Linked DNA regions of Macaca fascicularis. The protein of the gene in region 1 purifies or fractionates together with the protein of each later gene. This does not show direct contact. Links are inferred from orthologs where the notes say so. Each region holds a gene or a part of one and is shown in the gene's direction. Other genes may lie near its edges.

The links.
Region 2: the proteins of RAB1B (region 1) and GDI1 purify together in Homo sapiens (affinity purification with mass spectrometry; 3 studies listed by BioGRID and IntAct, counting the BioPlex papers as one, with this or other methods). This does not show direct contact. The link is inferred for Macaca fascicularis from reciprocal best matches to the Homo sapiens genes RAB1B and GDI1.

Annotation. Positions count from the first base shown.
Region 1 is NC_088388.1:8,108,816-8,121,015, reverse strand, and holds the end of RAB1B (ras-related protein Rab-1B), read left to right. Parts: coding exon 1-5; intron 6-294; coding exon 295-390; intron 391-502; coding exon 503-598; intron 599-1,933; exon of another isoform or gene 1,934-3,966; coding exon 3,967-4,098; intron 4,099-4,193; coding exon 4,194-4,388; 3' UTR 4,389-5,642; downstream 5,643-12,200. Other genes in the region: CNIH2 (protein cornichon homolog 2), read left to right, coding at 6,579-6,659, 10,377-10,445, 10,848-10,895, 11,154-11,266, 11,367-11,510, 11,678-11,705. UniProt on the Homo sapiens protein: The small GTPases Rab are key regulators of intracellular membrane trafficking, from the formation of transport vesicles to their fusion with membranes.
Region 2 is NC_088395.1:160,429,926-160,446,902, forward strand, and holds GDI1 (rab GDP dissociation inhibitor alpha), read left to right. Parts: upstream 1-8,174; 5' UTR 8,175-8,269; coding exon 8,270-8,314; intron 8,315-9,581; coding exon 9,582-9,689; intron 9,690-9,821; coding exon 9,822-9,921; intron 9,922-10,062; coding exon 10,063-10,197; intron 10,198-11,003; coding exon 11,004-11,202; intron 11,203-11,469; coding exon 11,470-11,601; intron 11,602-12,499; coding exon 12,500-12,599; intron 12,600-13,023; coding exon 13,024-13,195; intron 13,196-13,471; exon of another isoform or gene 13,472-13,511; coding exon 13,512-13,656; intron 13,657-13,774; coding exon 13,775-13,829; intron 13,830-13,919; coding exon 13,920-14,072; 3' UTR 14,073-14,869; downstream 14,870-16,977. Other genes in the region: ATP6AP1 (V-type proton ATPase subunit S1), read left to right, coding at 143-266, 2,927-3,001, 3,370-3,563, 4,022-4,062, 4,722-4,807, 5,306-5,544, 6,210-6,257, 6,344-6,575 and 1 more; protein FAM50A, read left to right, coding at 15,650-15,760, 16,819-16,903. UniProt on the Homo sapiens protein: Regulates the GDP/GTP exchange reaction of most Rab proteins by inhibiting the dissociation of GDP from them, and the subsequent binding of GTP to them. Promotes the dissociation of GDP-bound Rab proteins from the membrane and inhibits their activation.

The DNA of each region.
Region 1 (12,200 bases):
TTGCTGTGAGTAAGAAGCCTCCCATACCATCTACCAGGGGTCCTGACTGGCAGCTGGGGGGAGAAGGGACCACCCAGAGCACAGTAGTCGCAAGATCTGGGAACCAGGGGTGAAGCTGTAAGACCTGCCAGCAGCACATCTGCCCTGAACAAGACACAGGGCTGGCCAGCTGGGTGCTGGGAATTGGGGCTTGGTGATTAGGAGACCCTGCTGGGGCTGGAAGCTGGAGGGAGGCTTTCCAAGTGGGCCTCACCTCATTTACTCCCATCATTTCACTGGCCCCTGAACTTCCAGGATGACACGTACACAGAGAGCTACATCAGCACCATCGGGGTGGACTTCAAGATCCGAACCATCGAGCTGGATGGCAAAACTATCAAACTTCAGATCGTGAGTGTCGCTCTTCCCAAAATCCCTGGTACAGAGGTGTCCGCCTTGGGAGGGAAGGGACTCTGGGAATCTGGACCCCAGCTGACCTGCTCCTCTGCCTACTGTCTCCTAGTGGGACACAGCGGGCCAGGAACGGTTCCGGACCATCACTTCCAGCTACTACCGGGGGGCTCATGGCATCATCGTGGTGTATGACGTCACTGACCAGGTACTCCTGGACTAGCCATCCTCAGCTTGGCCTCCTTAGCCTTAGGTCTTTGACTCTTCTTTTTCCTCCTTCCATCTTCTCTTTCCTAATGCTTCCTGGAAAAGAGACTGTACTTGTCTGCTTGCGGGAACTAACTAGGAAAAAGAAAAAAATAGGTGACTGTACTTGGACTCATTTCACAAGGAAGGAAACAACCACAGAAATAGATCCTCCCAAGGCCCTGTTGCAGGTTCTGGCAGGACAAGCCCTCACACCTTCCCTCCCCGCCAAGCCAAACTTACCACCTTATTGTAGACCTTCTGGGCACCTGCATGTTATGGGAGTTTAGTCAGGCGGTTGGCTGCTATGATGGGTCTGTGGCTTCCTGTGTGAAGACACAGTGCAGGGGGACAATTAGAGGGCCTTAGACAAAGAAGTGAGGAGGCTTGAGCTCTGGACCCAATGCAAGCAGAGATCCAGAAGCTCTGTGCCTCCAGCAGCAGTGTTAGTCCCATGTGACTGACAGTGGTGGTAGCAAGAGCCGAAAATGGTTCCATGAAACCTTATAGTTTACAGAACCTGGCCCAGCCCTCAGATTGCAAATCTCTGATGCTCAGAAGAGGTCTGTGTTATGTTCCCATCACACAGGTGAGGAGTTGGGCTCAGGATGGTGAGGTGACTTGCCGAGGGTCCTTCGGCTAGTCCAGTGGCAGAGACAGAAAACCTGGATGGCTCATTCCACCTGCTTTGTGTTTTTCTACCAAATGTTGTTGCTTAACAGGGCCGAGCCCTGGGGATGAGGAGAAGCTTAAATCAGCCGTGGGCTGGTAAGAGTCCCTGTCTGAGGAGCAGCCGGGCTCTTTAGCTCACCAGGGACTCATGATGTCCTCAGCTCTGGACGAGCTGTGGGGAAGCTACATACCACCCAGACAGGTTACCAGGGCCCACCTGACTGCCATCTATCCAGTGACCTCATTTCAGCAGATTGACCTCTCGTGGCTTTGAACTCTGTTCTCTTCTCTCTCCTTGAAAAGTGTACCGTCCCCAGCTCCTCAGTCTCCTGCAGCACTTGATTCTCTATTGTCAGTGTCTGTTTGCTGGTTTGTCTGGTGCTGCCTCCCATCACCCTGTGTTTGGTGCTTCCCGACTGCCCTGGACTCTCCTCCTTACTCTGGTGCATGACTGGGGCCACTCTGTGGCTTGCTTCTGCCTTGTCTTCTGTGATTCCTGCATCTAACAGCTGTGGCTGTGGCTTCCCTCCTCTGTCCGTGTCTACGCTGGCACTTTGTGTCTGTGTTAATTCTGATCTTCATGATCTTCTCTAGTAAACTAAATGGTGGGGTTTGTGTTTTCCAGATGAGGAAACTTGCTTGGAGAGGTGTTAAGTAACTTGCCTCCGGTCTCACAGGAAGGGCAAAGCCAGTTTTGGAGGGCTCTTGGCTTTTGAGCACACCCTTTCCCCCGCCTCAAGCAGTCTCTGCAGAACTCAGATGTCCAGCACTGGCCTCACTGTCTCTCCCCAAACCAGCGTCTCCATCCACATTTTTAATACTTTTATTTTAAAACGTGGGGTCTCGCTCTGTCACCCAGACTGCAGTGCAGTGGTGTGATCATAGCTCGTTGTAACCTCAACCTCCTGGGCTTAAGGGATCCTCCTGCCTCAGCCTATAGGTGCACACCACCATGCCCAGCTGCATCCCCATCTTTGTGACACAATTCTTACCAGGCTGACCAGAAAACTCTTCCCTCCCCCATCCAGTCAGTCTCAAGTCCCCTCTGTTCTCTCCCCATCATCTTCCTCAAATCTGTTTTCTCATGATAATAGCAGTCATGAGGATAATAGCAGCTCTTGCCAGGTAAGCACTTGTTATGAGACAAGCCTGCATTCATTCTCTTCATGCTCACAGCAGCCCTTCTGGGAGGTACTGTTTCTAGAAATGAGGAAACTGAGGCTCACAGTGGTCAGGGGACATACCTGAGGTCACACAGTAAATGGCTGAGCCAGGCCTTCAGCAGCGGTGGTCTAAATCCTGTGTGCATCCCTGGCTTGGTGCACATTCTCTTCCCTGGGTTATTCCAACCATTCCCAGTTGGTCTGCATCTTGCTGGTCTGATCTGGCCTCTGGCTCCTGTCAGGACTAGCTTTCCAGAGCACAGGTGTGATCTTGCTGCTTCTGGCCTGAGAAAACGCCCACTGGCTCCTGGTTGTCCAAGACTTAGCCAGGCTGAGACAGTCTGTGCTCTGGCCTCTCCCCATTCCCCGCTCTGTCCTCCCCCGTCCCCTCTCCCCTTTCCCCCTCTCCCCTTTCCCCCTCTCCCCTTTCCCTCTTTCCCCTTTCCCCCTCTCCCCTTTCCCCCTCTCCGCTTTCCCCCTCCCTATTGAGTGCATCCCAGCAACATTCCACTTCCTCCCATTCCCCAGAGACATCATGCCCCTCCCATTCAGTGACCTGGCACATGCTGGCTCTCCAGCTGGCACCTCTCCTGCACAAGGCCAGTTCCCACCTGCAGGCTTAGGCCTGCTGTTGCTCCCACCTCAAGCAGAGGTGGTCTGGGGGCTCCCCGGTCCCTGCCTTCTAACCTGTTTTGCCCTTGTGTGTGGCCTGGTCTATTCCTCTGCTGTCCCGTGAATGTGTTAGGGCAGGACTCGGGTATGATTTCCCCCTTTGTCCCCAGCACTTAGTGCAGGACCCAACTTGGAACATGGCAAGAGTTTGAGCCAGTCTAAGTTTGAGCCAGTGTGATGTCATCAGGCCTCTGGCTCCTAAGGAGGAAAAGTGGCACTAGCTTGAGCACTTTCCTGAAAGTCCTGTCCTTTGTGTGTGGGGTAGGGGCAAGCTGCTGGAAGAGTCTGAAGCCAGGTCATAAGGCTGTTGGTGCCAAAAGTAGGATGAATTTTAGGCTGTTCCCAGGAGTCCTGTCTCGCCATGGGCCAGGGCCGCCTCTGAGAGGACCCTCGACCTCCTGCGTTCCAAGGCTACAAACCTTAAAGGGATTTTTCAGGCCACGGTGGGAACTGTAACTCTTGCAGACCTGTTACTCTCTGTTCCTGTCTCCCCTCCACTCTCTCTTTGCTTCTCACATGTGGTTAGGCCTGCAAGTGTCTCGGGCAGAGACAGCCGCAGGGAGCAGAGCTGGCAGGCCTGGGTTGGAGCAGCTGTTGAGGTGCTAGGGCAGCTGGCAGGCTGCTGGGGCTCTTCTGGGTCTTGGATGGAGGAGGGCAGGGAGGAAGGTTCAGCCTGGAGCAGAGGGCTTCCTCTGCATCCCTGAGCCGAGGACTCAGGGGGCCCAGAGCTGTACTGTTCCCCTCAGAGAAGGTCTTGTTCTCCAGGTCTGGGGTAGGGGTGACAGTTGGGAGCAAAATAACTTTGGCCCCTGGCCCCCTCTAGGAGTCCTATGCCAACGTGAAGCAGTGGCTGCAGGAGATTGACCGCTACGCCAGTGAGAACGTTAATAAGCTCCTGGTGGGCAACAAGAGCGACCTCACCACCAAGAAGGTGGTGGACAACACCACAGCCAAGGTAGCAGATGGGCGGGTCTGCCTGGGCTGGGGGCGCTGGGGCCCTCCTGCCCCTCACCCTGCTCTCCCCTCCTCTTCTCTCCTCTCCCTTGTCAGGAGTTTGCGGACTCTCTGGGCATCCCCTTCTTGGAGACAAGTGCCAAGAACGCCACCAATGTCGAGCAGGCGTTCATGACCATGGCTGCCGAGATCAAAAAGCGGATGGGGCCCGGAGCAGCCTCCGGGGGCGAGCGGCCCAATCTCAAGATCGACAGCACCCCTGTAAAGCCGGCTGGCGGTGGCTGTTGCTAGGAGGGGCACATGGAGTGGGACAGGAGGGGGCACCTTCTCCAGATGATGTCCCTGGGGGGATGCAGGAGGTGCCTCCCTCTCCCTCTCCTGGGGCATTTGAGTCTGTGGCTTTGGGGTGTCCTGGGCTCCCCATCTCCCTCTGGCCCATCTGCCTGCTGCCCTGAGCCCCAGTTCTGTCAAGGGTCCCTAAGGGAGGACACTCAGGACCTGTGGTCAGGCAGGGCAGGGGCCTGCTCTGCTGCTGCCTCTAGGTGACTTTCCAAGATGCCCCCCTACACACCTTTCTTTGGAACGAGGGCTCTTCTGTCGGTCTCCCTTCCACCCCCATGTATGCTGCACTGGGTTTCTCTCCTTCCCCTTCTTCCTGCTCTCCTGCCCAAGAGCTGAGGTCTCCCCGGCCTCTACTGCCCTGGCTGCAGTCAGTGCCCAGGGCCAGGAGAGTGGCCAGGGGATCCAGGACCTGGGATCCAGGGCCCTGGGCTGGACCTCAGGACAGGCATGGAGACCACAGGGGCCCAGCAGCCCACCCTTTCCTCTCCCCACTGCCTCCTTTCCCCTCCCACACTCCCAGCTCGAGCCGTCCAGCTGCGGTGGGGTCTGAGTATATCTAGGACGGGTGGGTGGGTAGCCGCACTGGGCTTGTGTCTTGAGCCTGGAGGGAGTCTGCTCCTGCCGCCCTCTGCCCTTCCAGAGACAGACCCGTGCGCTGCCTGCCCAGTGTGCCCCTTTGTCCCCACGTCAGGCAGAGGCGGAAGGCCCACTGTGCCAGAGGCTGGGCACCAGCCTTAACCTTCTGCTAGCACCTCCTCCCCTTCCCCGAGGCAGCACATCTGGCTCACTCTCCCCTGGGTCTCTGGAGCCCACCAGGGAAGGCCCTCATCCCCTGCCGCTACTTCTCTGGGGAATATGGGTTCCATCCGGGGTTGGGGGCCTCTCTGCTCATCCACTCTGCACCCAGGATCCTAGTCCCCTGCCCTCTGGCACAGCTGCTTCCTGCAGGAAAGCAAGTCTTTGGTCTCCCTGAGCAGCCATGTCCCTCGTGCTGTCTCTTGCCTGTCCCACCTGTGCCCTGCCCTCCAGCTTGTATTTAAGTCCCTGGGCTGCCCCTTGGGGTGCCCCCCTGCTCCCAGGTTCCCCTCTGGTGTCATGTCAGGCATTTTGCAAGGAAAAGCCACTTGGGGAAAGATGGAAAAGGACAAAAAAATTAATAAATTTCCATTGGCCCTCGGGTGAGCTGAGGGTTTTTGCAAGGAAGTTGTGGTGGACAAGTGTGGTCTCTGGTCTAAGTCCAGCCTTGGGGTGGGGGGATGGAACTGGAACCCTGGGCTTGATGGGGTGCACGGGGGTCCTGGCTTGGTTTCTGCATCTTAAGGCTGCTGGTGAAAGCCCTTGACCCCGTTTCCTGGGGCCAGGAAAGCTGCTTGTGCTTCTGTGGTCTGTCCCCAAGGGCCCAGCACCGTTCTGTCAGGGAGAGAGAGGGCGGCCATCAGCTCATACCTGGTGTGCCGCCGCCAACTCCCACGGGGGACACGGCAGAGGTGTGGGGTCGTGCAGCCTCTGAAAGGGCCCCCACTGCACCTGGCCCGACCTCCTTCGGCGCCCCCCAAAACCCCGCTGCCCCCATTCAGCCCATGTCCTCGCTTCGCTGTGTGTCCCAGCCAGGTGCTTCTGCCGCCTCCGACAGTGACAAGTGCCTCGCACTTCAGCCTCTGCCCTGCGCGCCCGCCCGAGGGGGCCGAGTGCGGCTGTGCCGGTGGCTGGAGTGCCTAGGGGTGCGGGGTGCCGAGGGGGACGGCCGCGGGCTCGTCGGGGCTGGGGGTGGCGCCCGAACCGGGCGGGCGGACGAGGGGCGCGCGGAGACCCAGCCCCGCCCGAGGCCGCTCGCGCGGCGGCCCCGCCCCCGGCTCCGCCCCGCCGGCTTCGCGGGCTGGAGAGCGAGGGAGCCGCGGGCGAGGGATCGCAGGATGAGCGATCGCGGCCCGGGCAGCCAGCAGCGGACGCGCCCCCCGAGCCCACCGGCCCGCGCCCCGCGCCCCCCACGGCCCCGCGGTCCCGGTCCCGGCCGCATCGCCCACCTCCCCCGAGCCCCACGGGCCATGCCCGGCCGGCCCTAAGCGCGGGCCGGGGGGCGTCCCCTTGCGCCCGGGCCCCGCGCTGGCGCCCCCCGGGCCGCCGCCCGGCGCGGGGGCCATGGCGTTCACCTTCGCCGCGTTCTGCTACATGCTCACCCTGGTGCTGTGCGCCTCCCTCATCTTCTTTGTCATCTGGCACGTAAGGCCGGGCTGGGGCTGGGGGCGGGGTGGGGGGCAGGGGCCACACGGAGCTGGAGGGACCCAGGGCGGGTGGTCTCAGAGCCCCGGGGAAACTTGCTATCCCCCAGCAGTCGGCTTGTCGGCTTCGCCCCCATTAACACCCCCCATGGTCGGCTTTCTTCCCAGGGCCCCCCTTCCTTCGCCGCCCCCGCCTGTCTGTATGTCAGTCGGTCCCTGACCCCCTCCTCTGCCCCCGTCCTCTGCCCCATGCAGCCCGTGAGGTGGGGGGTGGAATTCTGGAATTTTTGCTCCTTTACCTTCTTCTACGTCCCCCGCCCCCCCACAACCATCCAGCTGCCTCCATTAGTCCGTCGGGCAGTTTGTCTGTCTGCTGCCCCCCCACCCTTTGTGGGTTTTTCCAGCCAGAGTGATGGAGCCGGTTGCTATGGCAACTGCATCTGTTTACAGGACCCACAGATCTCATAGCCCATTAACCCTTTGCCTTCCCAGCCCCCTCCCTGACCAAACAGCACTTGGCTCTCATCAGCCCCCAGAGACCTAGCCCCCACCACCGGCTCACCTTGGGTTTCCCTACCCCTCCTGTTGGGAGCTTCCCAGCCCCTCAGGTTTCCTCTCCATTTTTCAGCTTCCCTCCTCTTCCTGCCCCCCTTCCCCTTTGTCTCACATACCCCTTGGCCTGTCCCTCACCCTGGCCTAGCCTCACACCTGGTTCTTCAAAATGTCCATTCCTCATCCTACTTCCGACCCATCGCTTCCCCCAGGCTCCCTTCTCCTCCCCTCCCAGCCCCTCTCCTCCAGGGCCTCCTCTGCCTGGCTCCCTTCCCCTCACTACAAAACTATCAATCAGCCTCCAGCTGGTTGTTGGGGGCCCCTGGCCCCACTTTACTGCCCTCCCTCCCCACCCCCACCCAAACCCCGTGCCTGTCTCTGTAACAGCCTGCCCAGCTTGGCCCTGGTCGGCTCAGCTCAGCATTCTCTGCCCACACCTCCCGCGCACACCTCCCTGATTGTCATTCCCTTTCGGGGGTCCTCTTACCCCTCCCTCAATCCCATTTCCCATAACCCTTCCCTCCTTCCTCCTAGTGCCTCACCTGCTTCTTTCCCCGGGCTCCCCACTTCCTCTCTCCTTTCTCTTCCTGGGACCTGCTGCCTGCTCCATGGTTCCCCCTGCGCTCCCTTTGCCATCCCCTGCCACCTTGCTCTTTGCCATCGGGATTCCATAGACTGACTGAACCTATACTGTGTGAGGAGTGAGCCCCCACAGGCACCTCAGCACACACTCCAGCTCCAGCCCTGTCACTCCCTGGCCTGGCTCTGCTGTCTCCCTGGGTCTTGGTTGCTTTGTCTTTCCCCCCCCCTTCCCCCCCACCCCGAGTTACTCTATTTTTATTTCTGTGAGGTAGGGGCAGGAGGGCTAGGGTTCTAAGGGCTGAAGGGAGCTGGAGGCCACAGGCTGGGGAATGCAGAGCTGACCAGCTCCTAGGAGAAGGGCTTCTGGAATTCAGGATACCCCTTTTTGGGGCCTTCCCCACCCAGGGCCTTCCCACAGACCCTGTGGGGTCCCTGTCCTCAGGGGATTCTCAGCAGTTTTCCATCCACCACACCTGCATTGATGCTTCCCAAAGATCAGGCTCTGGGTGGCTTTGAGGGGGTCAAGGATGAATAAAACCAGACTTTGCCCTTGTGGAGTGCCCAGGCTGGGAGGAAAGGCCCAAGCTTTGAAGAAATGTCTTTGTTCATTCAACAGATATTGATTGAGCACCTATGTGAGGTACTGTGTCCACTCAGCCATTTAACTGGATGATCTTATCTAGTCATTTGTCCTGAGTCTGGTTCCTCACTGGCGAAGTGGACCTGTGCACATCAGAGTGCCTAGTGCGGCCTGCTGGGTGGTAGGGGATAGGAGGTGTGGTCCTCAGTCCACAGCTGCTAAGAACTAGACTCTTAACAGGGCAGGACCCCAGATCCCACTCCAGACCCTCAGCCCAGGCCCCAATGGTTCCTAGGCAACACTGGTGGTGAGTGATGCGTGTCAGCTGTCACCGTGGGGGATTGTTTGTTCCGGGGGGCTGAGTCAGCACCAGGCAGCCTGGGGGGTGGGAGGCGCGACGCCTGCCGCCTGCTGGTGATGACAGCTCTGGGGCACAGACGGCACCCTTCTGCTCCCTGTGGACCCTGTTGCTGTGCGTGCCAAGCGGCGGCTGCCCAGTCAATGAGGAACTGGGTGGGGGGGGCGGTGATCCAGATGGCCCCAGCTCCCTCCAGGAAGCCCATGTTCTTTCTCTCTGAGCCGTCTGGGTTCTGGGATGCCTGGGGGTGGTGGGCCTGCTGCCTCATCCTAGGGCTGGAGCTGATGGGAGGGGATCCCAGCAGGCTCCTCTGCCAGCCCATTTCCCCCAAGTCACCTGTCAGCTCCTCCCAGGCCCATCCCATCATCCCCTCAAACACTTGCTCCCCTGGAGAGTTTCCACCCGTGAGGACACTGCCGTCTGCCAGACACCCTAACACCTGAAGACACCTTAGACTTCTGCCTTCACTTCTCGGCCCTTTGAACCCTCTGGAGTCTGGCTCCTAAAGAGCTGTAGAATCGCATACACGCCTTCCGTCTCCACTACAACTCTCCTCACTCAGACCACCATCAGCCCTGCCCCTAACCCTCCAAACTGTCCCCTTGCTGGTCTGACCTGAGTATGACACAGTGGTTAGGAATTTTAACTCTGGAGTCACACTGGGTTAGAATCCACTAACCAGCTGTGTGACCCTGGACAAGTCACTTAACCTGTCTCAGCTTCCTCATCTGCAAAATAGACATGAAAATAAAACTAGTACCTAAATCATTAGGTTGTAAGCATTAAATGAATTAATCCACATACCTGCCAGCAGGAGCACCACTTAGATCTCAGCTGTGACTGTCAGTGAGCTCGGAGTTCCTGCCCCACCAATCCTGAGACATGGACCAATCCTAAGACATGGGCCTGACCACCCCACTCTGCTGCTGTGTACTCTTCCATGCCTCCCCACAATGTTTTTGTGTTAGAGTCCAACCTCCTGCTCCAGCCTCACAGGTTGTCCATGTCTGGCTCTGCTGAACTCTCCAGCTCCTCTTCCACCACTCCCTCTTTTCTTCCTGCTCGCCGCGCTGTCATGCCAGCCCCATGAAACCCGCAGCCTCCTGAATGTCTCCTGACCTTTCACCCCTCTGCCATTGCACCTTCTGCTTGAACTGCATTTCCCCCATTTGCTCACCAACACCTACTCCGAGTCGAGCCTGAACTCCCTCACCCTCCACACAGGGTTAAGCACCCACTCCAGGTCCTGTACCCTAAACCCTGATCACCTGGAACGTAGAGTGATCATCCCTCTGGGCGTGGGTTCCTCCCGAGCAGAGGCTGCATCCCAGGCCTCTGGAGCCCCAGTGCTCAGCACAGGGCCTGAGACCTGGTAGGGCAGACACGAGGCCATGTCTTGGGATGTTTCGGAAGGAGGTGTAGTGGACATGGGCCTGAACTGGGCATCCAGACGCTAGGGTTCCCTTCTGGACTGTTGTGATGACCTTGGACCAGGCCCTGCCCCTCCCTGGGCCTCGGTTTCTCCACCTTTGCAACAAGCTCCACCTGGCTGGTCCTCTTCAGTAAACTCCTATCCCACAGAAGGGCTTGGGGGGAAGATCATAAACTGCTGCCCCAACCCTGACGGGCACTCGCCCCTCCCCCAGATCATAGCCTTTGATGAGCTGCGGACCGACTTCAAGAACCCCATCGACCAGGGGAACCCTGCGCGGGCAGTAAGTGATACATGTGCTGTGCCGAGGTGTGTCTGTCCGTCTTTCCATCTGTCGTAGGCTGGGGGTGGGAGACGGGAAGACGGGGGTGGGGTGGGGGGCCTACGGCCATGCCCCCTTCCTCTCTGTCTCCGCCCCCAGCAAACACCTGGCGCGTGCTCAGGGCTGAGTTCCTCCTGGCGGGGCGGCGGTTGCCAGGCTCTGGGCCGTTGCCTTGGAGACGCGGGTGAAGGCCCCTCCATGGTGACGGTCGCCATGGGGACGGCGCGGCTGCTTCCCGGCCGCGCCGACAGTGCCGCAGAGACCGCTCTTGCGCCCCCTGGCGGCCACATGCGGGGCGGTGGGAGCTGCTCCAGTATCTGCTTCTCCGCCTCCCCCATCGCGGCCTTTTGCTTCCCCCAACAGCGCGAGCGTTTAAAAAACATCGAACGCATCTGCTGCCTCCTGAGGAAGGTCAGTGTCAGGGCTGGGGGCAGGAGGCTCCTAGCCCAGCGCTGTCCCCACTGTCTGTGGCCCAGAACCAGGCCGTCCCCCGCTTTGGGCCTGTTTGATCCACTCTGCTACTTGGGAGGGAGTGGGAAGCCAGAGGCCTTTTAATCTCCAGAGGTCATGGTGGGTGGGCACCTTCCAAACCCCAGCTCCTCTCTGTGCCCTTGAAGCCTGGGTCTGTCATAGCACCAGGCCGCTGACCTCTCACCCTCACTCCCCCAGCTGGTGGTCCCAGAGTACTCCATCCACGGCCTCTTCTGTCTGATGTTTCTGTGTGCCGCAGAGTGGGTGACGCTGGGCCTCAACATCCCCCTCCTCTTCTACCACCTCTGGAGGTGAGGGGAGCAGCTGCCTTGGGGAGGCTGAGATGGGGAACAGGGACAGGATGGGGGTGGGAGCCTTGATGGCAGACACTCAAGCCCCTGTCTGCCCCAGGTACTTCCACCGTCCTGCAGATGGCTCCGAGGTCATGTATGATGCGGTCTCCATCATGAATGCTGACATTCTCAACTACTGCCAGAAGGAGTCCTGGTGCAAACTTGCCTTCTACCTGCTCTCCTTCTTCTATTACCTGTACAGGTGAGGCCTTGCCCACAGCAGTCAGAACTCAGGGAAGGGATGCCCCAGCATCACACTTCCAATGCCCTTTGCCCTTGAGGACTGAGGGCAGCCCAGGGTGTGGCCAGGTGGGTAGCTGGGTGGCTGTGTGTGTGCAGGGCTAGGCTCACTGGCTCATCTTCCCACAGTATGGTTTATACGTTGGTGAGTTTCTAAGGGGGAAGCCGGCCAGGGAGTGAGCCCAGAATGGACCGGACGCCTGTGCACCCCCAGCCCTGCCCCTTGGCCGCAGAGGCCTCAGCCCTGGGGAGGGAGGGGGCACTGGTGCCCCCAGCCTCTCCAACCCCCAAACTGCTGCTGCGGGGACCCCCCCACCTTCAGAGCCCTCCCCCTTGGACTAGAGCGGCTGGGCAGAGCTCTAAACAGGGGCAGGGGCTCCTCTGCCAGCCTGTGGGCATGGCAGTCAGTCCTGGAAAGGGCAGGACCTCCAGCCTTGTCCATTTCGGGGGAAACTTGGGCCCTGCCAAGGGGCAGAGCTTGACCCTGGAAATTCTGGGCCACCCCCCTCCACCCCCGCCCTGAGGCTCCCCCTGCAGGTGGGGGGGTACCCGCACCGGGAATGAGCAGGCTCAGCAGGGGGGCAGCCCCACCCCTAGTCTGCCCTCCCCTCTCCCCCAGGCTCTTTCTCCAGCCCTGTCTCCATCTGCCCCA
Region 2 (16,977 bases), on another chromosome or scaffold:
ACTCCCGCGCTGTCCTACGCGAGGGGTGGTGAGGCCCAGAGGTGGACTATTCTTTGCTCGGGGGTCGCAGCGAATCTGCCGGCAACAGAGCTCCAGTCCACATGCGCCCCCGTCTGACAGCACCTCTTCTGTCCCCTGCCAGGGACTTGTGGGCTCCTGCCGACACTCATGAAGGCCACATCACCAGCGACTTGCAACTCTCTGCCTACTTAGATCCCGCCCTGGAGCTGGGTCCCCGGAATGTGCTGCTGTTCCTGCAGGACAAGGTGCGCCTGCCCCAGCCCACTCTCCCCCGGTCATCGGGAGGCAGCCAGGAACCCCTCCCCCCATGACACTGACGCCCATTCCCCAAGGGAAGCTTCAGTGACCTTGTCCCAACCGTAGGGAGGTGTGGGTCGTCTCATGGGAAGGCCTGTAGTAAACGCTTCAGTGGGCATGGCGACAGCCTCGGAAATGGCACCAACTTGATTGGAGGAAGCGACGGGTCAGAGGCCAGGTACCTACTGATTACCAAGCACTTTGGATATCTGACTTACTCCAATATGGTGGGTGGGGATTATTGTCCCTGTTCGTTTATAAATGAGAAGACTGAGGCTGGAGGTTAAGTGACTTGCCCAAGCTCATACAGCTAATGGGTGGCACAGTTGTAATTCTAGCTGTGATGATCATAATAATGATAATTGGAAAATGATCACCTGTTTAGTGCTTTGTAGGCACTTGCTATACTGATGTCATTATCTCGGTTTTACTGCCAAGGAAAGTAAGGTTTGTCGAGATACAATGTTTCACTACAGTTGATAGACACCACTTTGGTTCCAGCCTGAGTCTGTCAATCCTCCCTCCCAGTTGGAGCTCATAACCTGCATGCTGTTTTCCCTCCCATCCAGGATCTTTGCCCCCAACCAGGCGTGCAGACCATGAGATGATTCTAAGATAGCAAGCGTCTGCTAGGCCCTCCCTTGTTGGTGGCCTGTATGGCTCATTGCCCTTGTAGTCTCCCTTGGTTGCTGTGTGGGCAGATGGTGGCCTGAAGTCTTTTCAGGAGGTGGTAAATAATATAGTCAGATAGGAACTGAGTCCTAGTTCCACCATGTAACCAGCCATTGGAGGCATGAAATAATCTTTGTCAATGACAGTTTCTACATCTGTAAAATGAAGACACCACCTACATCAGAGGGCTGTGAGGGGGAATTCTTTTTTTTTGTTTTTTTTTTTTTTGAGGCAGAGTCTCGCTCTGTTGCCCAGGCTGGAATGCAGTGGTGCAATGTAAGCTCAATGCAACCTCCACCTCCTGGGTTCAAGCAATTCTCTGCCTCAGCCTCCTGAGTAACTAGGATTACAGGGCACCTGCCACTGCGCCCAGCTAATTTTTGTATTTTTTTTTTTTTTGTATTTTGAGTAGAGACAGGGTTTCACCATGTTGGCCAGGCTGGTCTTGAACTCCTGACCTCGTGATCAACCCACCTCGGCCTCCCAAACTGCTGGGATTACAGGCATGAGCCACCGCGCCCGGCCTGTGAGGGGGAATTCTTATAATCCACATAAAACATCTAGCCAGGATCCCCCAGTCTTTCGGCATTCACCCATTCATTCATTTGTCCAATATGGAAAGCCTACTATGTGCCAGGTATTATGAAGTGTTGGGATACGGCAGTGAGCAGAAGAACCCAATCCCCCACCATCAGGAAGCTGACATTCTCATGAGGGTGACCAGTAAATACTAAGTTGGTATATTATATGATGTCAGTGTTATAGTCTTTAGGGAAGGAAACAGGCTAAGGGGACAGAGTGACTGGGATGCTGTTTTAGATAAGGGTGGTCAGACTGGGCCTCACTGAGGAGGTGAGGAGGTGATATCTGAGCAGAGATCTTAATGGAGGGAGGGAGCCGTTGGGGGAAGGACATTCCTGGAACAGCAAATGCAAGGGCCCTGGGCGAGGTGTGCTCTTGGCAAGCTCAAGGAAGACCTGGTGTGACTGGAGCACAGTGAGTGAGAGAAAGGGGTAGGAGATGTAGGAGATGGTTCTCAGGTGGCCAGGCAATGAAGTAGGACCTTGTAGGCCATGAGGGGGAAGGTCAGGTGCAGTTCTAAATGTGTAAGAAAGCCTTGGGTAATGTGGAGCAGGGAGTGGTGTGATTTCTCAATTAAAGAAAGCCCACAGGAACCACCAGCAACTCCTGGGCTTTCCGACTGGGAGCCCGGGCGGCCAAACAGCAGCAAGGTCCTGCCCACAAGGGAGGGGAGACTGGGCGAGTGTATATACCAAACAGGTTAGGGAAGCTGATTAAAATCTCCTCAGGGCCTAACTGGGAAAGGCCAGAGGAAGCTGGAGATTGGAGTAGGGGGTAGGAGCGAAAGGACAAAGGACATCTGTAAGTTGTATAGAAAAAGGGATGGGGTCAGGGCCACTGTGGTCCTAAGAGCTCAAAAGACTTAGTGCTTCCTCCGCATGTTCTGAGATCTCACCTCTCTCCCCTTCCACCAAAAGCAAGTGGGGTGACGGTCCTGTCCAGACTGGACATAGCCAACTCCCATTTTCTCTGGCTGGGAGGCCTGCTGCAAATGCTCTTGGCTGCCCCACCCCCTCCCCACAGCTTCCCTGTTCCCTCCCCAGTTCCTCTTGTCTGTAGGGCGGGTAAGGCAGCTGACTCCTACTCCTGAGGTTACCACAAATCAGCTGCCTACAGATCTCCCCACCCCCATGACTGCCTTCTATGTCTTCTCACCCTGCCTTGACAGTGCTGGAGGGAAGAGACGAGTCTCCCACCCACCACCACCAACACACAGTCGCGCTCCACTATACCGAACCTGACTCTCAGTGAGACTTTGCTGGCCCTGAGAATGCACGGGGAAGGTGGCTGTCCCCTGCCTTGGCCCCCATTCCTTGTCAAACCTCCTCAGATGTCTCCCCTGTTTCCCTATTAGCTGAGCATTGAGGATTTCACAGCATATGGTGGTGTGTTTGGAAACAAGCAGGACAGCGCCTTTTCTAATCTAGAGGTAAGAGTCCTCTCCCAGCCAGGGGCCATGGGGGACATTCTGTGCTTCTCCCAGCATAAGAACTGTACTCTTACCTCATATCAGGGTTACTTGGGTCTGAGTCTCCTCTGGGATGCCTCCTCCCTCCCCCCCCGCCGCAAACAACAACAACAACAACAACAAAACCACCTCATACTCTTAGCAGAGACACTGGCTTTGGGGTAGAAAGGCCTGGGGCCTGAATGTCAGGGCCTGGGGTGTGGGCCATTTTCTTGGTGAGCCTTTGTGGGTATGGCTTGCCAGAGGAAACCTGCCAGAGAGGTTTGGGGGGCTGGCCCAGGCCCACTGGCCCCTGGCTAACTCACCTTTTGCCTCTCCCCTGTCACCAGAATGCCCTGGACCTGGCCCCCTCCTCCCTGGTGCTTCCTGCCGTTGACTGGTATGCAGTCAGCACTCTGACCACTTACCTGCAGGAGAAGCTCAGGGCCAGCCCCTTGCATGTGGACTTGGCCACCCTGCGGGAGCTGAAGCTCAACGCCAGCCTCCCCGCCCTGCTGCTCATTCACCTGCCCTACACGGCCAGGTACTGCCCACATGGCCCAGCCACCAGCCTCGGGGTCCAGAGAGCAGCAAGGCCCTGGGCTATGGCATGTGGTGGCACCGTTCGACCAAATATGCCAGTACTCCCCACCCCCTCACAGCCCTTCTAGAAGGTGCCGTGTGTGGCCAGAAGAGGTGGGGAGGGCCTCTTCTGTGATTCAGGAGTTGGTGCCTAGCTCCAGAGATGAGGCAGATGTGAGCCCTGTGGGTGGGGAGCTTTCTCACCTAGCCAGGCCCTTGTCACAGAGCAGGTGGCTAGGACTTGAGTGTGACTGAGAAGCCTCGGGGTGAGATGGGCTTCCAGGAGTGGGCACTGAGGTAAGAGTGTGCAGGCTTGGTGTGTGGGGCTAGTGGGGAGGAGAAGCTGGGGCTGGGGAAGGGTAGTAGGCAGCACAGGTCCAGGCCGCCTGAGGACTCTGGTGCTCTGTTTGTCTTCCATAGCTCTGGTCTGATGGCACCCAGGGAAGTCCTCACAGGCAATGGTGAGTAGAATCAGGGAGGATGCACATCCTCACCTAGCCCTTGGGCGGGGACCACAGACAGTTGGCCTGCAGCTCCTCAGCCTCCTCACTCCCAGGGTGGCCCTCCTGCTTCTCGGGGCAGCTGACAGTGGAGCAGGGAAATGCTGGCTCCCAGGACTAGCCAGAGACCACTTAGCAGAGGACCCTGTCCAGCCAGACCCCACTTGGCAGAGGGGGGGCCCTCTGTGCTGGAGGCTATGGAGCCAGTTTCTGTGCATGCAGCGTGAATCCTAGAGTTATGGGTTTAATAAGACTGCAGACATTTGGAAAAACAATTCTGGGGACTTACCTATTTGCAATAAAGAACAGTCATTGCCCATGGAAAGGCAGTCACAAACCTTTCATGGGTGGATGTGGAGTTTTCTGTATTGATATGTATTTTCTCGTGTCACATAGGTAGGGCTTGGCATTAGGAAGTTGATGACCAAAGCCACAGTTGTCCAGGGGGGAGGCTAGGAATGGGGGTGGGATGAGAAATAGCTGCTCCTAAGGATCCTCAGTGGAAAGTAATAACACCACTTTCAGATGGTCTAGAAGGTTTCTAAAGCAGACGGTGGGGAGTGTTTCTTTACACAGGGTGCCTGGTGACTTGACTCTCTGCTCTCCTTTTTGACCCTCAGATGAGGTCATTGGGCAGGTCCTGAGCACACTCAAGTCTGAAGATGTCCCGTACACAGCGGCCCTCACAGCGGTCCGCCCTTCCAGGGTATGTGCCCTTCCAGCAGGGGCTCTGGGGCATGCAGGGAGAGGCAGTGTGGTGAGTCTGTCTGGAGGTGGGGGGTGTATGCCACAGGCAGGCTGTCCGGGAGGCCCAGCATAGCGGAAGCATCAGGCACAGAACCCCTGTGGTGTGACTATTTGGAGTGGCTTGTCCCTGGGCTGACTCTGGGGGAGGACTAGGATGAGCACTCAAGTGCTGCCTCCCCATTCCAGGGGCAGCTTTCCATCTCGTCCTTTGAGGCTTGTGGGTGGCAGACTTGGACACTAAGTCTAAATGACCCTAAGTTTGAGGGACTAGGAATGTCATCAGGGTTTAGGGGCCATCAGGGAAAGCTTTCTGGAGGAAAGGCCTCCTCTGGCTGGTGGGACTTTGAGATAGTGGACAGGGTGTCCTGTCGGGAGAGGAGGGAGGGCACGACAGCTGGGTTGGAGTATGACAGTCTCCCAGGGCTGCTGAAAGAAGGCTGGTTGGGTGTTTCTGCAGGTGGCCCGTGATGTAGCGGTGGTGGCTGAAGGGCTAGGTCGCCAGCTGTTACAAAAACAGCCAATATCACCTGTGATCCATCCTCCTGTGAGTTACAATGACACTGCTCCCCGGATCCTGTTCTGGGCCCAAAACTTCTCTGTGGCGTACAAGGACCAGTGGGAGGACCTGACTCCCCTCACCTTTGGGGTGCAGGAGCTCAACCTGACTGGCTCCTTCTGGAATGACTCCTTTGCCAGGCAAGGGCACTAGGCTGGGGAGGACTGTGCCACCACAGGTGACCTTCCCACCACTGTGAGTTGCAGGTGGGGCAGGGAGCCAGGGTCAGGTCTGTGTGTTGGGGTGGGGATGGCCATGGTCTGGTTGGGGTCTGGGCAGTGTGAGGATGTAGGAGGTGTCATGGCGGGGGGTGCTGTTGGAGGGGAGTTGCTCAGACTTCTGCCTCCCCATGCTTGTGAGTCTTTGGTTGGGACCTTGGTTGTTAACACCTCCCCCTTGAGCAAAACTTCTGGGACTTTGTGTGGGCAAATGCCAGGCCAGCTACCTGAGGCATTTATGGGGCAACCATGCCCTTCTGTTTGCTCTCACCCCCAAAGCCCAGCCCAGGCACCTTAGTGACCCTAAGAGGGAGTAAAAGGAGAGGTAGTGAGCTCAGGGGAACCAGAGGAAGGACCCCCATGCTGGTGGCAAGGGGAACCTGGGTCCTGGCTTCCAGCTCTGTTCTGGGCTTGCAATGCGACTGGATCCTCAGTTTTCCTATCTGTCAAGTGGGGTCACTGCTTCTTCAGGTGGCTGCAAGGACCCAAGGCAGCTTAGGTAAGAGCAGAGCTGAGGAACTTGTTCCTCTAAGATGCCAAAGGCCCTCCCAGAGCCTCATGGTGCACCTCTTTCTCTGCCTCCACAGGCTCTCACTGACCTATGAACGACTCTTTGGTACCACAGTGACATTCAAGTGAGTCCTGGGGTGGTTGAGGTGTGGGGAGGCTGGTGTGGCCCCAGCCTCCCCAGCTCACCTGACATCCCTGCCACCTTCCCCAGGTTCATTCTGGCCAACCGCCTCTACCCAGTGTCCGCCCGGCACTGGTTTACCATGGAGCGCCTCGAAGTCCACAGCAATGGCTCCGTTGCCTACTTCAATGCTTCCCAGGTCACAGGGCCCAGCATCTACTCCTTCCACTGCGAGTATGTCAGCAGCCTGAGCAAGAAGGGCAGTCTCCTCGTGGCCCGCACGCAGCCCTCCCCCTGGCAGATGATGCTTCAGGACTTCCAGGTATGGCGCAGGGGTGGCCCAGCTTCAGGTGGGGGAGCCCAGGCTGGTGTTTGAGAAACGAAGAGAGGCTTGGGCTTGGGAGTCCTGTCCCTGCGCTGCCCTTGTCCCAGTCCTTGCTGGGCCTCCCAACGGTCCTTTCTGACCCGTGTCTGTGTGTCTGCCAGATCCAGGCTTTCAACGTGATGGGGGAGCAGTTCTCCTATGCCAGTGACTGTGCCAGCTTCTTCTCCCCCGGCATCTGGATGGGGCTGCTGACCTCCCTGTTCATGCTCTTCATCTTCACCTACGGCCTGCACATGATCCTCAGTCTCAAGACCATGGATCGCTTTGATGATCACAAGGGCCCCACCATTTCTTTGACCCAGATCGTCTGACCCTGTGCCAGTGGGGGATTGAGGGTGGGACAGTGTCCGTGTTGTTGCTTTCCCACCCTGCAGCACACTGGACTGGAGCTTCCCTCTTCCTACCGCAGCATGAACCCCAAGCTCCCCTCAGCCCATCTTGCTCCCTCTTCAGCCTGCTGAGGAGCTTTCCTGGGCTGCCCCCATCTCTCCCAACAAGGTGTACATATTCTGCGTAGATGCTAGACCAACCAGCTTTCCAGGCTTAGTCGCTGTGAGGCGTAAGGGACATGAATTCTAGGGTCCCCTTTCTCCTTATTTATTCTTGTGTCTACATCATCCCTGGCTGTGGATAGTGTTTTTGTGTAGCAAATGCTCCCTCCTTAAGGTTATAGGGCTCCCTGAGTTTGGGGTGTGGAAGTTCTACTTAACTGTCCTGCTTGGCTGTCGTTATCGTTTTCTGGTGATGTTGTGCTAACAATAAGCAGTACACTGGGGTTTATTTCTGTGGCCTGAGAAGGAAGGCACCTCCACAGGTGGGCTGGGTGCGATCGTCGGCTGTCTGGCATGTTCCCACCGGAAGTGCCTGGCAGGAGCAGGGGGTGCTCGGTTGTTTCCTTCCTAATAAAGTAAACGAGGATCGCCATGCGTTGGGCCTCTTGTCGCTCATTTCTGCGCTGAGCTTTTGGCGCGTGCTCGCCAGAGGTATGCGGGAGGATGGAGCCTGGAGAGGGGGAGGCTAGGAGGCATCCCCGGAGACCGGGAGGGGCTTTAGTAAGCTGGGCCCTAACCGCTTAGGTCAGGGAGGGGTGGTCGGGCCGAGTCCCGGTGCGCTTCGGCGTCTCAGGAGGCCGTAGTGACAATGGCAGCCTTCGCGTCGTGAGGGAGCCGCCCCCGGCTGCCGCAGCGGCGCGCGTCCGGTCGCGGGGCCGCGCCGAGACTCCCGGGGGGCGGGGCGGGCGCGCGCGGGGCGGGGCGGGGCGGGGCGCGCCCGGCTCCCGCGCATGGATCCTTCCCGGGCCGCAGCACCGGCCGCCGGCCCGCCCCGCCCGCCCCGCCCGCCCCGCCCCGAGCCTCTCTGGACTCTCGGCGAGCAACGTCGCCCGCGGAGCCGCGCTGGTGCTGTGGCCCGGGCCCTGGCAGCCCTCCCGGGAGGCGAGCCGGGAAGGCGGTGTCCCCTGCCGGGTGCGGCGGGGCGCGGGAAGAGGCGGGACTCTTTGACGCGGCGGAGGGGTCGGGCGGCGGCCGACGCTCCGCCATCTTTGGTCCAGTGCGGTGGCGGCGGCGGCGGTGGCTACTGCTGTGGTGAAGGAGGAGGAGGAGCCGAGCGGGCGCTGCCACTGAGGCCTGACCATGGACGAGGAATACGATGTAATCGTGCTGGGGACCGGCCTCACCGTAAGTGCGGCCCCGGGCGCCCTTGGCCCTGCGTCGTGCCCTCGCCATTCCCCGCGATGATGCGGCCGCCGGCCCATCCTCCGGTCACTGCCATCTTCTGCGCTCGGCTCCCCGAAAAGCCGGCGCCGTGCCCACCCCGCTGCTCCCCCCGCGATGTCGCCTCTGTTCGTTGCCATGACCCCATCTCCCCGAAGGGGCCCCCTTCCTGGCCGCCCCCTGGCCTACCCGGGTCCGACCCCCGGCGCTCTCCCATCTTCCCTACCCCTGCCCTCTGGACCGGAAAACGCACCCCCACTCGGCCCGTTGCCCCCGACCCCGCCCACCCATCGCCCCCACCCCGCCCACCCATCGCCCCCACCCCGCCCACCCATCGCCCCCACCCATCACGGCATCCACCCGTCGCCCGCACCCATCGCCCGCCTAGCGTTGCCTCCCAGCGTCCCTTCCCATCTTGCGCTAATCCCTGTGAGGATGAAGTACAAGGACCTGGGGTCAGGGGGCCTCGCCAGGGTGGGCTCTCAGCCCACCCCCTCGTCGTCTTCTGGGGCCAGGGGATCCAGGGAATGTTCCAGAAGGAGCAGCAGTGGGGGCAGTAAGCACATTCCCGCAACCCCACCTCGGTTGCCCATGGAGACCTCAGGCTGAGTAGCATCTGCAGCCTTTGTCCTTGGGCTAGTGACAGTGACTGGTGAGGGTGTTTATCTTCCCCCTTTCCCCGAAAATCCCGTTGGCCCACTCCCCTCAGAGACTCTTCTCCCTCGGTCCAGACCCAGATGCCCCTCCTCAGCGGCAGGGGCTCCTGCTCTTTGAAGAAAGAGCAGTCCAGGGTGGGGCCTACAATTTCAAGGACTGTGCTAAGCCTTTCTTTGCTTCCCTTTGGAGTGTCTTTCGCAGTCCAGCTGGGTCCCCTCTGTGCCACATTGTGTTTTATCCGCCTTTTTGTGCGGCTCTGCGTAGGTAGATGCCTCTCGGCGTGTTGGTACTGGAAGGCCATCCTGTGTCTGCTGGATGCCCTGCCTACCTCAAAGCCTCCGTTATTTCACTGTCTGCCTTGTGAGGGGGACGGTCTCCTTTACCCCGCAAGGTTGCAATGGAGAGTGTGGTCGGATGAAACCATCACCCCAATTTTAGGCGAGGCAACTAGCCGGTGGGGGTGGTGGATGGAAGGAGCTGTCCACTGAGGCAGGTTTGGGTGGGGAACAAATCAGGGCTGCTGGTAGGAGCAGAGGAAGGTGGGAGTGCAGCGGATTGTGTGGCCCTCCCCCAGGAATGCATCTTGTCGGGCATCATGTCTGTGAACGGGAAGAAGGTGCTGCACATGGACCGGAACCCCTACTACGGGGGCGAGAGCTCCTCCATCACACCCCTGGAGGAGGTGAGGCTGCCTGGGCCCAGGCCCATCCCTGTTAACCTCCCACACAGCGGCACAGGGTGGAAGTAGCTCTCCAGGTGCCTGGAGCAGGAGGAGGTGGTCCCTGAGGTGTCTCTCTCTCCCTTCTGCTTACAGCTGTATAAGCGTTTTCAGTTGCTGGAGGGGCCCCCTGAGTCCATGGGCCGAGGCCGAGACTGGAACGTTGACCTGATTCCCAAATTCCTCATGGCTAACGGTGAGGGACAGGAAGGAGGTATTGCAGGTCGGGGGTGATAGGGAAGACCTAAGGACAGTCAGGCTCCAAAGGAGGCACAGCCAGACCAGCTAGAACCTCTGGAGAGAGCCGTGCTGATGTTGCCCTTGTGCACCCCCACAGGGCAGCTGGTAAAGATGCTACTGTATACAGAAGTGACTCGCTACCTGGACTTCAAGGTGGTGGAGGGCAGCTTTGTCTACAAGGGGGGCAAGATCTACAAAGTGCCGTCCACTGAGACTGAGGCCTTGGCTTCCAGTGAGTGTGGGCCCCCTGAGCCAGAGAAATCATGGGGTGGCAGGGAAGCCAACTGTCTTTGGGATGGGTGGCTGTCCAGAGTAAGGCACCCCTTTGTCCAAAGTCACATTCCCCCATGAAGGACCAGAGGCCCTTCACTCTGTATTCCCTCTGCCCCATGTCATGCCGCATGGCTGGCTGCCAAGAGGGAGGTCCCCACGCAGCAGGGATGTGACGTGGAGGGGAACGGGACTCCTTTTGAAAGACTTGAGCGTGGCCAGGCACGGTGGCTCATGCCTGTAATCCCAGCACTTTGAGAGGCCTAGGCGGGTGGATCACGAGGTTAGGAGTTCAAGACCAGCCTGGCCAACATGGTGAAACCCCGTCTTGTCTCAAAATACAAAAAATTAGCTGAGTGTGGTGGCACACACCTGTAATCCCAGCTACTCGGGAGGCTGAGGCAAGAGAATGGTTTGAACCCGGGAGGTGGAGGTTGTGGTGAGCCGAGATCATACCACTGCACTCCAGCCTGGGCGATAGAGCAAGACTCCATCTCAAAAAACAACAACAACAAAGAAAACTTGAGCCTTTGGCAGGGGCTCCACTGGATCCTCAAGACATCCCCAAGTGTCCAAGCCAGGAAAGCCCTTAGAGTCCATCCAGGCCAATCCCCTCTTCATCCTGGTGGGGAAACTGAGGCTAAAAAGGGTGGAGAGGTTAACCTAAGGTCACAGGACAGCTGGGCTGGGAGTGGGGGTGCCTGCCCTGCTGAGATGGAGAGTTTTGTGCTGCGTTGGTGCAGAACCTCCTCCCGCCACCTTCCTTAGATCTGATGGGTATGTTTGAGAAACGGCGCTTCCGCAAGTTCCTGGTGTTTGTGGCAAACTTCGATGAGAATGACCCCAAGACCTTTGAGGGTGTTGACCCCCAGACTACCAGCATGCGTGATGTCTACCGGAAGTTTGATCTGGGCCAGGATGTCATCGATTTCACTGGCCACGCCCTGGCACTCTACCGCACTGATGAGTGAGGGGAAGCTGGTGTGGCGGCAGCCCCCTCGCCCGGCCCACCTCCTGCCCTCCCCACACCTGCCTGTTGTCCCCCTGCCCTGCATGTTCCTTGTACTCAGCCATAGGCTCACCTGTCACCCTTTCCATTTCCCCCTTGCATTTGATCCTCATCTTCCCCAGGCCATTCAGGGTGGTGGGAAGACTGGCCTGGTACCTGGTACCTGGGTGGGGGTAAGTCAGGGGTGCTGCTACTGGAGCATCTTCCCTAACCCCTGTCCCCCAGCTACCTGGACCAGCCCTGTCTTGAGACCATCAACCGCATCAAGTTGTACAGTGAGTCCCTGGCCCGGTATGGCAAGAGCCCATATTTATACCCGCTCTACGGCCTGGGCGAGCTGCCCCAGGGTTTTGCAAGGTGAGGACGTGGGTTTTTTCAGTTGGCATGGCTGAGTAGGACTAGGGCCAGGAGTGGAGATGGCCCCCTTGAGCATTTCCCTGGTAGCATTTCCTCCTTTCCAATTCGTGATTTTCATTTACTTCACTCCATCCTTGGGTGATGAGGGCACAACCCCAGTGCACTGAAGTACAGAAGTCTCCACACTTGCCGGGCGCGGTGGCTCACGCCTGTAATCCCAGCACTTTGGGAGGCCGAGGCGGGCGGATCACAAGGTCAGGAGATCGAGACCACGGTGAAACCCCGTCTCTACTAAAAATACAAAAAATTAGCCGGGCGCGGTTGTGGGTGCCTGTAGTCCCAGCTACTCGGGAGGCTGAGGCAGGAGAATGGCGTGAACCCGGGAGGCGGAGCTTGCAGTGAGCCGAGATCGCGCCACTGCACTCCAGCCTGGGCGACAGAGCGAGACTCCGTCTCAAAAAAAAAAAAAAAAAAAAAAGAAGTCTCCACACTTGAAGAACCAAGTTTCCACAAATGTGACTTGCTCAGTTCCCGGCAGCACCAGGACTGGGCCCAGGGCCCCAGAACCTTGAGTCAGGGCTTCGCTGGGAGGTGACCTATCTTGAGAGAGTCCATCCTGGTCCTTCAGGCTGTCTTGGTGCAGAGCACTGCTCCCTCATGCCCCCTTCTGCTGGTCCTTGGCAGTGTATTCTGGGCAGAAGAAGCTCCTGAGAGGAAAGAGCCCGCTGAGATGGGGCCAGAGTTCACGGCAGTGACACAGCTGGGATGAATCCCGGCGTCTCCTGCCTGCTGCCTGCCTGGGGCAGCCTTTTTTGCACCTTGGTGGAGGAAGGGTGACAGTGGAATTGGTCCCCGTTTCTCCTGGGAGGGGCCTTCACCAGGGCTGTTCTCACCACAGATTGAGTGCCATCTATGGGGGGACGTATATGCTGAACAAACCTGTGGATGACATCATCATGGAGAATGGCAAGGTGGTGGGCGTGAAATCTGAGGGAGAGGTGAGCCTTTCTGGTGCAGTGCAGTCACCATGGTTGAGGCAGGGCTTGGTCACCTTCTTTTCACCGTGCTGCCGGGTCTCCTGCTGCACAGCCCCGAGGGTCCTGGAGCTGGGAACTGGGCGTTCAGAAGTCTTCAGAGCCATGAATGTGGGTGAGGGGCTATTTCAGAGGCCACACGCCATGTCTGTAGTGCAGAAAGTGTACTTGATCACGGGGCATCTGGGAGGTGGGGGCGGGCACCCAGCCTATGGGTCAGGGCCCACCTCTGTGAGCTGCAGGGCAGGGCCATGCATTCAGGAGGGGCAGTAGTGATGGCTCCGAGGAGTGCCTTGTCTGCCAGAGCTGCCTGCCTTTGCTGTGAACACAGCCCCAAGACTACCTAAGGGAGTGATCTGACGGGCGAGGATTTCTGGTGCCTTCTCAGGTGGCCCGCTGCAAGCAGCTGATCTGTGACCCCAGCTACATCCCGGACCGTGTGCGGAAGGCTGGCCAGGTTATCCGCATTATCTGTATCCTTAGCCACCCCATCAAGAACACCAACGATGCCAACTCCTGCCAAATAATCATCCCCCAGAACCAGGTCAACAGGAAGTCAGGTAGGCCGGGTGCTGGTACAACTTCCTCTAGGGTGTTCTCTTTGGGGTTACCCTTTCTCTCCCCATCAGTGTCGGAGCTCCCTGCCTTACCTCTCTGGAAAAAATTTGACCCACGTTGTAGTCACCACAACTTGGACCCCTAGGGTTTGGGTGGCCTGGACTCTTCCCCTCTGGGAGGGTGGCGGCTTGGATGCTACCTGCTTTGCGGGGCTGGGGAGGGGGCAGGTGGGCCAGACTTGTGTCCAGCCACTGGAACTCATCTCTGCGTATGGCCAGCGCCTCTGGCCCGAGTTGACGGAGCTCTTCCTGTGGCCAGACATCTACGTGTGCATGATCTCCTATGCACACAACGTGGCGGCCCAGGGCAAATACATCGCCATCGCCAGCACTACTGTGGAGACCACGGACCCTGAAAAGGAGGTGGAGCCGGCTCTGGAGCTGTTGGAGCCCATTGACCAGAAGTGAGGGGCTGGGCCGAGCCCGAGAGGGAGAGGGAGGGAGCCCAGGAGCTGGGCTTAGGGACCAGGAAGGGCATGGCCCGTTGTGAGGCCTGTCCCCTCCCCTCTGTCTGCCCCTCAGGTTTGTGGCTATCAGTGACTTGTATGAGCCCATTGATGATGGTTGTGAGAGCCAGGTAAGCAGTTTGCCCCAGCCCTGGCTCCTGGCTGCCCCCCCAGGGCACCTGCCTGACTCACCCTGGGCGCTGGGCTTTGGCTGTTTCCAGGTATTCTGTTCCTGCTCCTACGATGCCACCACACACTTTGAGACAACCTGCAACGACATCAAAGACATCTACAAACGCATGGCTGGCATGGCCTTTGACTTTGAGAACATGAAGCGTAAACAGAACGACGTCTTTGGAGAAGCTGAGCAGTGATTGTGGCCGCCCCCAGCCCCTGCTGCCCCAGCCTGTGTCTGTTCTCCTAGAGGGCTCCAGCATCCTCTGCTTCCCCCACCACGTTCCCATCACCCACCTCATTGATCCACTGACCAAATCCTTAACCCTAGCGATGGTTTGGGAGATGGGGGGTTGGATAGCATCCTCTTTCTTGGCCCTTCCTTATCCTAGGAAAAGAGGGTTCCTCTCCTTGTGTGTGTCTCTTCCCCCCACCCCTAATTCTTCTGCTCTGTTCGGGAAGACGGGGAGGAAAAGGTGACTTCTGCCCCCACCGCTCTTACCCCCACTGTAGTGGCCTTTGGAGATGCCCCCACCTCCCCCCACCAACTCTTGGCGTGTTGGAGAGAAGGGGCCCTCCCAGCACAAAGTTGCATTCCTCCCCCCTAATTTATTCTAATTTATTAACTTCGACCCACCCTTTCTGAGCCTGCAGCCTTCCCGTGTGGCCTGGGGGCTGTAGAGTGAGCTGCCCCAGCCCCTCCCAGCCCTTGCCCAGCCTGGGGCAGTGGGGAAGGCTTGGGCGTGGCCCCGTTGGAGGTTGATTTGCTGTTTTGTTTCTTGTCTTTGTGTTTGTGTTCTGTGGTACTTGCTGAGAGAAAAATGTGAGCAAAGCAGAAGGAGGTGGGAAAATGGACCCAAACCCCAGTGTGCCCTGCCCGTACCTTTCCTTTAGTGGTGGGAAACCCTTATCTTGCAAAGTGAATGTGTCCCCTTCCCCACCCTCTAGTGTATTTCACAGAAAACAAAACCTCCCAATAAAACGGTTGAAACCTGAACCTCTGGATCTTTACGGTTATCTCCCAAAAGCTGGGTACCTGGCAGGGCTTTGGCTGCCTGGGTTGGGGCTCTGGCTTAGCTTCACTCTGGACTGTAAAAGGTGGCAGTCGTCAGGGAATTCCTCACCCAGAGCACGCTGGGGCCAAACTGACTTAAAGCGTAAGGCTACCAGTGAGTTAATGCTGGCACCAGGACTGCAGCCCTCAGTGCTCAATGCAGGGGGAGTGCGGTGGGGGGCGGGTGTCAACGTGGAGAAAGCAGAGGGAGCGGGGGTCTTGGCCTCTGGCTTGAGAGGGCAGAGGGGACCCGGGGCCAGCCTTGGATGGGGTGAAGCAGGGGGACAGGGGTGCCAGTTTTCGGCTTAATGCGGGGGACCAGGGCCTGGCCTCAGGCAGGGAGGCAGCACGGGGACCAGCCTTGGGGTCAACAGGAGGAATTAGAGGGACCAGGGGCCCAGCCTTGGCTCGGGTTAACGTCGAGGCAGCGCGAGGGGCTGGGGGATTCAGCCTCCGGGGTCCACAGGAGCCGGCGGTGGGGGCTGGGATGGGAGTCCATGCAGGGTAAGGGGCGGTCTCCGGCGGGGTGGGGCGGGGTGGGGCGGGGCGGGCGGCGGTTCCGCTCCGGGCCAGCTGGCGCGCGGAGGGGCGGGGTATCCGTGCGTCTCCTGGTGGCTGACGTCACGGCGCGGGCGTCAGCTGACTGTTCTGCTGCCGCCGCCGCTGCTGCTGCAGCTGAGACCCGGCTGGGCTGCTGTCGCTGTCGCCGCCGCCGCCGCTACCATGGCTCAATACAAGGGCGCCGCGAGCGAGGCCGGCCGCGCCATGCACCTGATGAAGAAGCGGGAGAAGCAGCGCGAGCAGATGGAGCAGATGAAGCAGCGCATCGCGGAGGTGCGAGCTGGGAGCCTCGGAGCATGCGCGCTGCCCAGGTCCCCTGGCTGCCTCGCGCCACGCTCCGGCCCTGGAAGCCCTGGGGCGGTGGCTTCGGAGCGCGGGCGGCGCGCCGGGGCGGGCCCCTGGCTCGCTGACTTCCAGCAGAGCACAGAAGCAAGCCGGCGAGTCTCATCAGTAAAATGGGCCCTGAGCCGGGCGTTCTCCGAGGCTGAGGCCACTGACTGGTGACCGACCTCCGGCAGGAGGGAGCCGAGCCAGTGTTTCTGTTGGGAGGCACGGCGGGGACAGGCCTCTCGTCGCCTCGCCTGGGCACCTAGCGCCCTGGCTCTGGCCCCTCGGCCCTCAGAGCCAGGCCTCTGCCCTGGTCCTATGGACACCGGGCAGGGCGGTTCCTCTCCCCCTGGAGAGGCGCGGGGAGGCCTGAGTCAGACCTGGCCAGTCCACTGGCCAGGAGGCTCCTTCCAGAACCCCTTGCATCTGTGAGGCAGGCATGAACCTCCCGGGCGCCAGCGGTTCATCCCCTGCTTCCCGTGAGTGGCCCGTGATGGTGGTGGTCAGGGAAAGAGCGTGGAAGAGCTTGATCCTTTTAGGGAGACTCACTCATCAGGACTCAGGGCTCCAGGAAAGAGCAGGCTCCTGCTTGGGGAACTGGGGAAACCTGGCCAGAGGAACCTTGAAATACCAAGTCCTTATTCCCTGGCCACACTGTGTGAGCCGGGGTGCCCAGCAAGCAGAAGGTGTATTTGTCTGCCAGCCACCTTGGGAGGCCGCTGGTCAGCGAGGGCTTGACATGGTACCAAGTGGGATGGGGCTGGGGCCAAAGAGAGGCCTCCTGGGAAGCTGTTGATGACATTTGGGGGCCTAGAGGGAGGAAAATCACTCAGGGAGGGACCAGGCCCCTCAGCCACTGTTCTTGTTTGCCTTCTCCTGATACCCCTTGGCTTGGGTCTTGGAAGCTTCAGGGGCAGATTTGGACTGTAACCCAGGTCCCTGATGACCAGCCTGCCTTTTCCACAGTGAGGGGTGACTCTCATGGTGGCTGTCCCTCCCCGCAGGAAAACATCATGAAATCCAACATTGACAAGAAGTTCTCTGCGCACTACGACGCGGTAGAGGCAGAGCTCAAGTCCAGCACCGTGGGTGAGCAGGGTGCGGGTGCCCCTCACCCGGGCCCTGGGCCACTCTTCCGCTGGCCCTGTGACTACCTTGCCCCT